Linked DNA regions of Arabidopsis thaliana. The protein of the gene in region 1 purifies or fractionates together with the protein of each later gene. This does not show direct contact. Each region holds a gene or a part of one and is shown in the gene's direction. Other genes may lie near its edges. The genes, in order: FBR12 and WOL.

Region 1 (4,289 bases):
CATCATATCATTATATGATTTGGTTTTGCTTATAAATCATAAATCATAAATGACGTTTCCCTTACGAAAAATATCAAATTTTTATATATGAAAGATAATGGGCCGTAAATGATCAGTCCCATATAGCCCATTCCAAGTACGCAACTCATTTCTGGAGATGTTCGTGGAGGTTTTCGAATTTGGTTTTGTTTCCCAAATACCCAAAATATCATCAAGCATAATGGGCCGTAAATGCTCTTTGATTTAGCTTCCTAAAAGCCCAAAATAGCATCAAGTCTTAGTCTATAGGGCTATAATTGTCAAAATGAGCCAGCTCGCTCAGCTCAGCTCACCTCATGATGAACTTGGATCTTTTATGAGCCAGCTCAGCTCAACTCATTTATTATATGAGCTTCAAAATACAAACTCGGACTCAGATCATCTAAATCACGAGCTAAATGAGCTAGCTCGCGAGCTAATGCGAATAAATGAAAAAATTTATATTTTCTAAACTTGTTATGTAAATTATATATTTTTAAAAATATATTTCTATTTTTATAGATTATATAAATATTTATGTTTTGATTATTGACTTTTTGTGTATATTACTAATATTTATTTTCAGAAATTGTTATGTAACTTCTATATTTTCTAAAATATATTTCTATTATTTATAGAAAAATATATATATACTTTGATTGTTAGCTTTTTGTATATATTACTTCAAAAAAACCAAGCTCATGTTCATTAAAGCTCGCTCATATAACTCGTGAGCTAAATAAAGCTCGATCACTAAACTCATTTATTAAATGATCCTTAAAAATAGAACTCGCGCTCATGAATAACTGAGCCGAGTTGAGCCAGCTCATGAGCTATCAGCTTATTTTGACACCCCTAGCTATAACCAAAACTGAAGATCTCTTGAGTGTTGCATCAAACTACTATTTTTAATCAATAGTTAGCTTTTTTTTGTTATATTATCAATTAAATATTAACTTTTATTTGATTAAATATTTATTTAAATTTAATTTTGATTTTAAAATTTATCGTGCAAAATTTAGACTAAAAAGTTATATACTCAATTGTTTTTCATATTCGTTTCTTATGAAATTCATATACTCATGTGTATTGGATTTAATTGTAGTGATTTATTTTGTAATGAAAAAGTTAATATTTTTAATTAATAATACAAAAAAATAATTTCTTTACTATATCTTAAAAATTTTAAATTATTTTTTTTACATTTTAAGTTTAGTTATTAAATCAAAAAATAATTCTAGATTTCATGTAACTGAATTTTTTTTTTTGAAAATTAAATCTCGCCTTTAGAGTAAAAAAAAACTCTATTTTTTTAGTTATGTAGTCTGTAATATGAGGAATTAGATGTCACAAGCTAAAGTGGGGCCGCATGGAATGCACGCGAGAGATGCAAGAGAGAGAAAAAAATAAAATCGGGAAAATCTAAATCGTTGAGAGATTATAATCCAACAGCTGAGAAATAGGATAAATTATCAAACTAGAGAAACTTTGGCAGCTTTGGATGCTGAGAATGAGTAAATGTCAATGAATGAGAAGGCAAACAATTAAGGAGAAGCAACACAAAGTGAAACACAATCTACTCAAGCAGCTACTACGGTATTTAACTCTAATAAACGCTTAAAGTTTGATGTTCGGAAAGAGTTTAGACCCATGTTAGAAGTTGTTTAGATTTTTTCACTACTTTTGTATTTCTGTTTTAAATTAGAATCTTTGATGAAATTCTGTTTTGTATAATCTTTTAAATTATTAATGTTTGAGTGAATTTTGGATTTATAAATTTGTTAGAAACTTTGATTAAATTAAAGAATTAAAATCAATTAAGGGTAACAAATAAAGTTTTTTATACAAAATACAAAATACATGATTCAATTTAAATACATATGACAGTGAATATAATATATATGTCAAATACAGAAATAAATACAATTTAAAATATCTATATAAAATACAGTTTTTTTGAATCCTTTTTTTTTTATGAAGAGGCCTGTTTTGAGTTTGGGCTGGGCTGAATTGTTTTTACCCACCACAACATTCCTAAGGATAATAATACAGTAACCCTAGAAAGGTTTCCTCCACCTTCCTCTTCCCCTCCTATATAAAAAAAATCGACATCGCTTTTGCTCACTTCTCTCTCTTAGGTTTTTTTTCCCTTCTCCCAATCTCATCTTCTCCGAAAACCTTTCTTCTCTCAAATTTCTGTGAAAACATGTCTGACGACGAGCACCACTTTGAGGCCAGCGAATCCGGAGCTTCCAAGACCTATCCTCAATCAGCCGGTAACATCCGTAAAGGTGGTCACATCGTCATCAAAAACCGTCCCTGCAAGGTCTGATTTCTATTTCATCATCAAACATCGTTCTCGATCTCTTTTTCCTGATTCTAGATCTCGTCTCTGTATAGTAGCTCCTTGATTTTGTTTTTATCCTCGGATTTGACCTGGTTCTGTTTAGTTTGAATTTTTCTTATAGATCGCTACTTAGATGAATATGATGAATCTTATCCTGTTATTTTGATGGTGGTACCTCTCTAGATTCGTGGAATTTTGGGAAATGAAAATGAAAAATGGATAGAAATCAAGCAATATCAGACGACGCCTTTTGTGATTTTGAATCTAAGTAGTCTATTGATTGATTTGATTTAAACGTTTATGGAGAACATAGATTTGATTTTGATATTTTGGTTTTGATTAGGTTGTTGAGGTTTCGACTTCCAAAACTGGCAAGCACGGTCACGCCAAATGTCACTTTGTTGCTATTGATATCTTCACTGCTAAGAAGCTTGAAGATATTGTTCCATCTTCCCACAATTGTGATGTAAGTTACTACACAAACTATGTAGATTCATTTTCACAGTATTTGATATGATTGTGTGATCTGACTCAAATATTGTTCCTTTCTCTTTTTTTCTCAGGTTCCACATGTGAACCGTGTTGATTACCAGTTGATTGATATCACTGAGGATGGCTTCGTATGTTTTTCTTTATACTCACTTTCCTCATCACTCCAGCTTTATTTATCTATTCTTGCCATAACTTTTGTACTTGTTTACATTATAGGTGAGCCTTCTCACTGACAGTGGTGGCACCAAGGATGATCTCAAGCTTCCCACCGATGATGGTCTCACCGCCCAGGTTATTTTCTTGTCTTTTCATACTCGCACACAAATGACTTGACTTTGTATTCATCTCTCGAATTGTGATATTGAAAACAGTTGTTGTGTTTTGTTAATGCAGATGAGGCTTGGATTCGATGAGGGAAAGGATATTGTGGTGTCTGTCATGTCTTCCATGGGAGAGGAGCAGATCTGTGCCGTCAAGGAAGTTGGTGGTGGCAAGTAAACAAGTATCATTCGATATATTATTACCAGTTTGACAACGGACGTCAATGTTATAAGAACCAAAAGATGTTTTTCTTTTTCCTAATTTAGACCCTTTGTGTGTGTTTCTTGTTGCAAGACAACCATATCTATTGGTTTTGGATTGTTGGAAAAGTTTGTGTTGAAACATTCAAAGTTTCTTATGAGATGTTATTCTTAAAACCACTTTTTGTTTGTTCACTGGATATGTTTGTTCATGAAGCTTGTTTTAAGCAACTCTTTACATGATATTCATTGCTATTTGCACGATTCAAGAGTGACATATACATTTTATTTAACAATAACAGTGTAAGATATGTGATTGAATACTTGTGGAAACATAGAGTTACACAGGCTGCGATAGTATTCGACATTTTAACTGGTTTTGACATTACACGATTTTGTATTCCTTGCACAAAGTCTGGTAAAACAGTAATAGCAAGAAAAGGTCAATGCTTTCCTTTGTTGAGGAACTGGAATTAGTGTATTTGTCAGGAGATTATTCTACTTTGAGAATCTGATGATAGTACCAAGCCAATCTTCAGGAACACTATCTCTCAAATCACCGTTTAGTGCTCTCTGTGAATGAGTTGTCGCAGCCTGTTTGAGGAGATTGAAAAAAAGAGCATGATGGCGGTTAAAAGCTCCATCTTTATCTAAGATATTTAGTTGGTTAAAGGCAAAAGTTGTCTATAATCTACCTTCACAATGTAGACATCGACTCCAAGTTTTGCAATCATAGCAGCTTCTGATATCTTCGTTTCCATTCCACCGGTTGTATCGTGCGCCGCAACAGAGTAGTCAACTGTTTGATTCCAAAAATCAGAGAGGTTTGAACTTTTAACAAATCCCTCAGACTTATTGTATTGCATAGTTTTACAACATTGGTTCTTTCGTTTACCTTTCTTGTCTGTGTG
Region 2 (8,029 bases), on another chromosome or scaffold:
AAAGAACAAAAAAGAAAATAAAATAAATTCTTTTTCCTTTATAATATAAAGTACAAGTCCCTTGCCCAATAAAATTATGCCACATAAGATTTGTTTATAATTTAAAGAATTATTTAAAATTTTTTAAAAAAAAAACGCTCATTTTTTTTTTCTACATATTTAAAAACAAAAAAATATTCCTAGATTTTCTCACACACCACACCATCATTATCTTTGGAAATTTGTAACCAACTCAAGATTTTCCAAACCGTTTTATCTTCCTCTACAAAAATCCAATTCACGTTAAATCTATCTCTTGCTCTTGCTTCCTCCAAAAAAAAAAAAAAATCATTCCCAGATCCATCGATATGAAATTGTATAGAAAAAATGGTATTCGATCCAAGTTTATTGTCTTCTATTTTTCTTAGGTTAATTTCACTTTATTCCAGATTCATTGTTTGTTTTTTCTTTCTCGGAAGAGCACAATGTGAGTTTCACTGGCCTCTGTTATAAACATATATAGAAATCTGTAACAAAAATCATTACTAAAATTCTGTGACATGTGCAGCGATCAAAGAATCAATAGCGGAAAAAGAAACTACACTGCATTCATCTATGACTGAAAGCTTCTGATCAAGCCATGAAATTAAGGTATCCCAAACACGTATCTTCTCTATGTTTATCAATCTTGCTTTAAGTTCTAATTCTGCATATTTCAAAGGAACCATACAAGTGTTCCTAAAATCCATTTGAATATTCAAAAACTTCTCTCAAATATCATGTAGTTATAGAAGCTACTGTCTCTAAGCGCACGAGAGAAAGCTACACAACCCACGTCAGTTTCCATCTACACATATAAGGTAATAATAATATTTTCATGTATCTTTAATAATAGCTCTATGTTTTTTTCTGTATTTTTCATTATAAAACTCATAACTATGTTATCATTTAATATGGTACTAATTTAATGGGATTGATTTACTATTGCCTCAAACATGTAATAATTTAATGATTTTTTGTTTTTAACGTTTTTAGAAATTCATGAGCATTTTAAATTTGTGGTTAGGTCATAACAATTTGCTATTACAAAAAAAAGAAACACTCTAAATAATATAAAAAATAGTTTACCGTATAATACTAGTAGTAAATAAATAATTTGATTGTTATTCATAAATTTTGAATTCTAAAATCTCCTGAATCAACTCATGCAATTGTCTTAAGAATTACACGTGGATAAATCATGGGCTTATGAGTCAGGCCCATTTAACCGGGGTATTTTCGTAGTTAAGAGACTAGAATGGTGGGTATTTCAGGTAAAAGGTCTATGGGGCCAGATCTGCGCTTTGTCGCGATGTCATTATCGCCAAAGATATGCGATAGCGACTCTCGTACAAAGTCTCTCACTCACCTATATTTTTTGTTTTCTTATATTTCAACAAAAAAACGTTTTATTTTCCTTTTGGTGTAAGTAAAAAAACAAAACAAAACGTTTTATTTCTAAAGTTCAGAAAACTTATTTATACCAAGGAAAAAATAGATAATAAATTTTGAGAAGTTGGTGACTATATATTACTTCACTTATTCAAGAAATTTAAACATGGTAAATGTTACTTTAAATGTTAAATGATGTATAAGAAATGTAATGAAATTGAATAAATGTAGTTTTAAAGATGTTTTAATTAGTAAGACAAACCTAGTTAGTGTCACAATAATTATATTTTTTTTTTTGTCATCCAAAATTATTAAAGCTCAAGTAAACCAATCCTGAGGGATATTATTTACAAATGTGATATGATGCGGTTCGGTGCGGATCTTCCGCGCCAAATTATACGCTTTTATATTAGCATTATAAAAAATTATAGATAAAGAGAAGTTTGTGAATTCTTCATTGTCGCTTTGCAATTTCTCTAAATACACAGTAAATACCGACAATTCGGTTAGAGAAAATATATCTATTTCGTATAATAATGTTAACTTTGAGGAGATTTTGGGTAAAATAATAACTTTTGTTGGATGGATCATATCATGAGCCATTAAGAAAAAGTCCAAAACTTTTCTTCTTCAAAGTTGGACTCAAGTTAGAAAAAGAAAAAAGAGCTAGAGAGATATAAAAATGAAAAGAAAGTTCATGGCAAAAAACTGATATAGACAGAGACACAGAGAGAGAGAAACGTATCTGAAGAAAATCTAAAAAATTCGATTCAATTTTTTTCTTACTTTTAAAAGCAAAAAATCTCACTAAAACAAAAGAAGAAGAAAGAAGAAAGAAAATGGAATACCTACATTTGAAGTGATGAGAAGAGATTTTGTGTATAATAATAATGCAATGTTCAATCCTCTCACAACTCATTACAGGTAACTAAAATAATTTCTCCATGTGCTTGCTTATTAGTCGTTCTTCCTAATGTTATGTTTCTCTCTGTGTTCTTTCTTTCTTTGGTCAAAGCTTTAATTTTTTTTCTATTGTTGGATTTGAGACAGTGAACATAGCTATGTTCTTGTTCCAATAATAAACAATCACGCCTGTAAAGAGCTTATGATTGATTAGTGTGTTTTTTAGTATTAATTAATTTCTCTGACAATAATTACTTAGTTTTTAATTCTTCTCTGTAAGAAACCTTTGGAAACTGAGCAAAGTTGCTTCTTTTGAGAACCATGCGTTTCTTTCTCTCTTTTGTTCTTGAATTCGCAAAAACATGTCCTTTTTCGTCTACAGGTTTCTAGGGTTTGTTTCTGTACTATAAACTATGTTTATGGTAACATTCTTAATCATAACTACACTACCAATGCTTTTATGTTATATGTATGCAAAAAAGGCTCTAACTTTTGTTTTCTTTCACTATTGTTTCTTCTTTTGTTCTCTATTGTTGTAGCTCAGATATGAACTGGGCACTCAACAATCATCAAGAAGAAGAAGAAGAGCCACGAAGAATTGAAATTTCTGATTCCGAGTCACTAGAAAACTTGAAAAGCAGCGATTTTTATCAACTGGGTGGTGGTGGTGCTCTGAATTCGTCAGAAAAGCCGAGAAAGATCGATTTTTGGCGTTCGGGGTTGATGGGTTTTGCGAAGATGCAGCAGCAGCAACAGCTTCAGCATTCAGTGGCGGTGAAGATGAACAATAATAATAATAACGATCTAATGGGTAATAAAAAAGGGTCAACTTTCATACAAGAACATCGAGCATTGTTACCAAAAGCTTTGATTCTGTGGATCATCATTGTTGGGTTTATAAGCAGTGGGATTTATCAGTGGATGGATGATGCTAATAAGATTAGAAGGGAAGAGGTTTTGGTCAGCATGTGTGATCAAAGAGCTAGAATGTTGCAGGATCAATTTAGTGTTAGTGTTAATCATGTTCATGCTTTGGCTATTCTCGTCTCCACTTTTCATTACCACAAGAACCCTTCTGCAATTGATCAGGTCAGTGTGTGCTTTATTAAAAGCTCAAAGCTTTGGTGAAATTTTTGATTCATAAATGCAAAGTTGACTTTTTTTGGAACCAGAAGTTTTTGAAATTTACTCTTTTATGTTTGGTTATTGAGTAAATGAAGGGAAATTTAGGCCTTTGCTTTACTCATTGGTTTGTGGCTAATTTTGCAGGAGACATTTGCGGAGTACACGGCAAGAACAGCATTTGAGAGACCGTTGCTAAGTGGAGTGGCTTATGCTGAAAAAGTTGTGAATTTTGAGAGGGAGATGTTTGAGCGGCAGCACAATTGGGTTATAAAGACAATGGATAGAGGAGAGCCTTCACCGGTTAGGGATGAGTATGCTCCTGTTATATTCTCTCAAGATAGTGTCTCTTACCTTGAGTCACTCGATATGATGTCAGGCGAGGTAATATAAACATTATCAGACACTTATGGTTTTGTTTTTTCGGTTAAGTATCCGACCTGCACCTCTTCTGAATTTTGGCTATCTTTTCTGCAGGAGGATCGTGAGAATATTTTGCGAGCTAGAGAAACCGGAAAAGCTGTCTTGACTAGCCCTTTTAGGTTGTTGGAAACTCACCATCTCGGAGTTGTGTTGACATTCCCTGTCTACAAGTCTTCTCTTCCTGAAAATCCGACTGTCGAAGAGCGTATTGCAGCCACTGCAGGGTAAAGTTCCCATCTGATTACTGGAGCAAACTTTTGCTTGTGATCATGTAAAAAGAGATTTTCGAGATTTCATGATTGGTTTATGTGTGTGATCATGTAAAGGAAAGAGGTTTTTTGAGATTTCAAGATTGGTTTGTGTGTAAAGTAAAGATTGATGCTTGAATTTGAAATGCAGGTACCTTGGTGGTGCGTTTGATGTGGAGTCTCTAGTCGAGAATTTACTTGGTCAGCTTGCTGGTAACCAAGCAATAGTTGTGCATGTGTATGATATCACCAATGCATCAGATCCACTTGTCATGTATGGTAATCAAGATGAAGAAGCCGACAGATCTCTCTCTCATGAGAGCAAGCTCGATTTTGGAGACCCCTTCAGGAAACATAAGATGATATGCAGGTACCACACAGAAAATCTTAAAGCTAAAATACTCTCTGATATCTAAAAACTGATATCTTGTTTGAACAATTTCGAGTGCAGGTACCACCAAAAGGCACCAATACCGTTGAATGTGCTCACAACTGTGCCATTGTTCTTTGCGATTGGTTTCTTGGTGGGTTATATACTGTATGGTGCAGCTATGCACATAGTAAAAGTCGAAGATGATTTCCATGAAATGCAAGAGCTTAAAGTTCGAGCAGAAGCTGCTGATGTCGCTAAATCGCAGTTTCTTGCTACCGTGTCTCACGAGATCAGGACACCAATGAATGGCATTCTCGGTACTACATCTTCAAACAAATTCCAGTACTGTTGCCTTTCATCTTTGGTTTCTCAAACTGCCTCAAAGATTCTGTTTTAAAAATTTTCTGCAGGAATGCTTGCTATGCTCCTAGATACAGAACTAAGCTCGACACAGAGAGATTACGCTCAAACCGCTCAAGTATGTGGTAAAGCTTTGATTGCATTGATAAATGAGGTTCTTGATCGCGCCAAGATTGAAGCTGGAAAGCTGGAGTTGGAATCAGTACCATTTGATATCCGTTCAATATTGGATGATGTCCTTTCTCTATTCTCTGAGGAGTCAAGGAACAAAAGCATTGAGGTAAGTTTTCAATCCAAGGAATAAAGATACATCTATTTGGAGTTGTGGCTGCTAATTTCTTGATTTCAAATTTGGCAGCTCGCGGTTTTCGTTTCAGACAAAGTACCAGAGATAGTCAAAGGAGATTCAGGGAGATTTAGACAGATAATCATAAACCTTGTTGGAAATTCGGTTAAAGTTAGTCCCTATTTCAATCTCTGCCTTTGTTGGCAGCTTGTGTATATGATTTTTGTTTGATCAAGATGTTGTCTTTTTGACAGTTCACAGAGAAAGGACATATCTTTGTTAAAGTCCATCTTGCGGAACAATCAAAAGATGAATCTGAACCGAAAAATGCATTGAATGGTGGAGTGTCTGAAGAAATGATCGTTGTTTCCAAACAGTCAAGTTACAACACATTGAGCGGTTACGAAGCTGCTGATGGTCGGAATAGCTGGGATTCATTCAAGCATTTGGTCTCTGAGGAGCAGTCATTATCGGAGTTTGATATTTCTAGCAATGTTAGGCTTATGGTTTCAATCGAAGACACGGGTATTGGAATCCCTTTAGTTGCGCAAGGCCGTGTGTTTATGCCGTTTATGCAAGCAGATAGCTCGACTTCAAGAAACTATGGAGGTACTGGTATTGGTTTGAGTATAAGCAAGTGTCTTGTTGAACTTATGCGTGGTCAGATAAATTTCATAAGCCGGCCTCATATTGGAAGCACGTTCTGGTTCACGGCTGTTTTAGAGAAATGCGATAAATGCAGTGCGATTAACCATATGAAGAAACCTAATGTGGAACACTTGCCTTCTACTTTTAAAGGAATGAAAGCTATAGTTGTTGATGCTAAGCCTGTTAGAGCTGCTGTGACTAGATACCATATGAAAAGACTCGGAATCAATGTTGATGTCGTGACAAGTCTCAAAACCGCTGTTGTTGCAGCTGCTGCGTTTGAAAGAAACGGTTCTCCTCTCCCAACAAAACCGCAACTTGATATGATCTTAGTAGAGAAAGATTCATGGATTTCAACTGAAGATAATGACTCAGAGATTCGTTTATTGAATTCAAGAACCAACGGAAACGTTCATCACAAGTCTCCGAAACTAGCTCTATTCGCAACAAACATCACAAATTCGGAGTTCGACAGAGCTAAATCCGCAGGATTTGCAGATACGGTAATAATGAAACCGTTAAGAGCAAGCATGATTGGGGCGTGTCTGCAACAAGTTCTCGAGCTGAGAAAAACAAGACAACAACATCCAGAAGGATCATCACCCGCAACTCTCAAGAGCTTGCTTACAGGGAAGAAGATTCTTGTGGTTGATGATAATATAGTTAACAGGAGAGTAGCTGCAGGAGCTCTCAAGAAATTTGGAGCAGAAGTGGTTTGTGCAGAGAGTGGTCAAGTTGCTTTGGGTTTGCTTCAGATTCCACACACTTTCGATGCTTGCTTCATGGATATTCAAATGCCACAGATGGACGGGTAACTAAATCACAACTAATACTATTTTTGGATTATTCGGTTTTTGAATTGTTCGGTATGAAAAATTTCCCGCCAAATTATAACTGACTTGGTTTGGTTCGGATTCGGTTAAAATCTTTTATAAACTTCATTGATTCTCAGATTTGAAGCAACTCGTCAGATAAGAATGATGGAGAAGGAAACTAAAGAGAAGACAAATCTCGAATGGCATTTACCGATTCTAGCGATGACTGCGGATGTGATACACGCGACCTACGAGGAATGTCTGAAAAGTGGGATGGATGGTTACGTCTCCAAACCTTTTGAAGAAGAGAATCTCTATAAATCCGTTGCCAAATCATTCAAACCTAATCCTATCTCACCTTCGTCGTAATCCAATCTTCCGGCGAGTTTTTTTTCTCTCTCCGCAGCCGGAAGAGTGGACCGATTCTGCTGATTGATATGCATTTTGGTTTCTGTACATACAGTAGGTTCACAATCTAGAGATTTTGAAGGTTTTTTTTTCTTTCACCGAAGTAATGTAGCTTGCCATGACTAGTGTATGTTGTTAAACGACAACGTCTAAGACGACGGTTCAGTGTTGATCTTAGCGTAAGTATTAATCCCACGGGATCGTTTGTACTGTATCAGATTTGGTTAGTCGTTTAAACATTGTAATGTTCTAATAATAACTTTTCCATATATAACATCTTCTTATAACTTGAGACGAGACCATTTTGATTCATCTTTTGAGCTTGTTTAGCAACCAAATCGGTTAGCTAGTTGAACGAAGATCAGAGAAAGAGCTCAAACAACTCTTCATTAGCTATAGCTCAGTCGACGACTTGAGCTTTCAAACAACAGAAACAGAGCAAAGCTTAAAAACGACTGCGTTTTACTATTGGTTCGTCGATCTCACTAAACCGAGTGAGATAACCAAAGCCAATCAACAACCCTTTAATCGGATCTCTCGATGTAATCTATAAAGGATGAGAAGAATTAGGAACTTGTCCAAGAAGAGTATATAGAAAATATCTGACTTTTTGTTTGTTTTTTATATACTCTATCGACTTATTTTATCAGTTTCAGTAGGAACGCAACGAAATACTACAGAATGAATTTCTCCCGATTTAGGTAGAATTGGATCACCACACTGTTAGGTTCTAATTTGAAATGCCTTCCGACTAATACCAAGGATAATCATACCGTCTGCATTTCTAACTACCAAATAAATTAATTGGACCAAATCACAACTGAGAGACTTTCTAAACAAATTTGTTATTGTTTTCATGAAAAATCAAACTCAGGTATAGGAGTTAAAGTTTCCTTGTGCCACTACACCAAAGAGGTTTGGACAAATATCTGATTTTTAGAATTATTGAGAATTTAAGAAATGATTGAAAAAAGAAGTAAGTGAAATAAATGTGGTTGATGTGTGACCGTAACGAACAGCAAAGTGGACTAGT

What was found.
Region 2: the proteins of FBR12 (region 1) and WOL purify together in Arabidopsis thaliana (affinity purification with western blotting, with the first as the bait; one study listed by BioGRID). This does not show direct contact.

The regions. Positions count from the first base shown.
Region 1 is NC_003070.9:9,203,744-9,208,032, forward strand, and holds FBR12 (Eukaryotic translation initiation factor 5A-1 (eIF-5A 1) protein), read left to right. Parts: upstream 1-2,056; 5' UTR 2,057-2,224; coding exon 2,225-2,344; intron 2,345-2,708; coding exon 2,709-2,831; intron 2,832-2,928; coding exon 2,929-2,985; intron 2,986-3,073; coding exon 3,074-3,148; intron 3,149-3,228; coding exon of another isoform or gene 3,229-3,250; coding exon 3,251-3,355; 3' UTR 3,356-3,674; downstream 3,675-4,289. Other genes in the region: AT1G26640 (Amino acid kinase family protein), read right to left, coding at 3,877-3,972, 4,074-4,177, 4,274-4,289. UniProt on the Arabidopsis thaliana protein: Translation factor that promotes translation elongation and termination, particularly upon ribosome stalling at specific amino acid sequence contexts.
Region 2 is NC_003071.7:362,260-370,288, reverse strand, and holds WOL (CHASE domain containing histidine kinase protein), read left to right. Parts: upstream 1-1,931; 5' UTR 1,932-2,272; coding exon 2,273-2,334; exon of another isoform or gene 2,335-2,852; coding exon 2,853-3,402; intron 3,403-3,582; coding exon 3,583-3,819; intron 3,820-3,912; coding exon 3,913-4,082; intron 4,083-4,257; coding exon 4,258-4,476; intron 4,477-4,557; coding exon 4,558-4,796; intron 4,797-4,889; coding exon 4,890-5,119; intron 5,120-5,197; coding exon 5,198-5,296; intron 5,297-5,379; coding exon 5,380-6,584; intron 6,585-6,725; coding exon 6,726-6,957; 3' UTR 6,958-7,306; downstream 7,307-8,029. UniProt on the Arabidopsis thaliana protein: Cytokinins (CK) receptor related to bacterial two-component regulators. Also binds the synthetic urea-type cytokinin thidiazuron, a potent defoliant and herbicide. Functions as a histidine kinase and transmits the stress signal to a downstream MAPK cascade.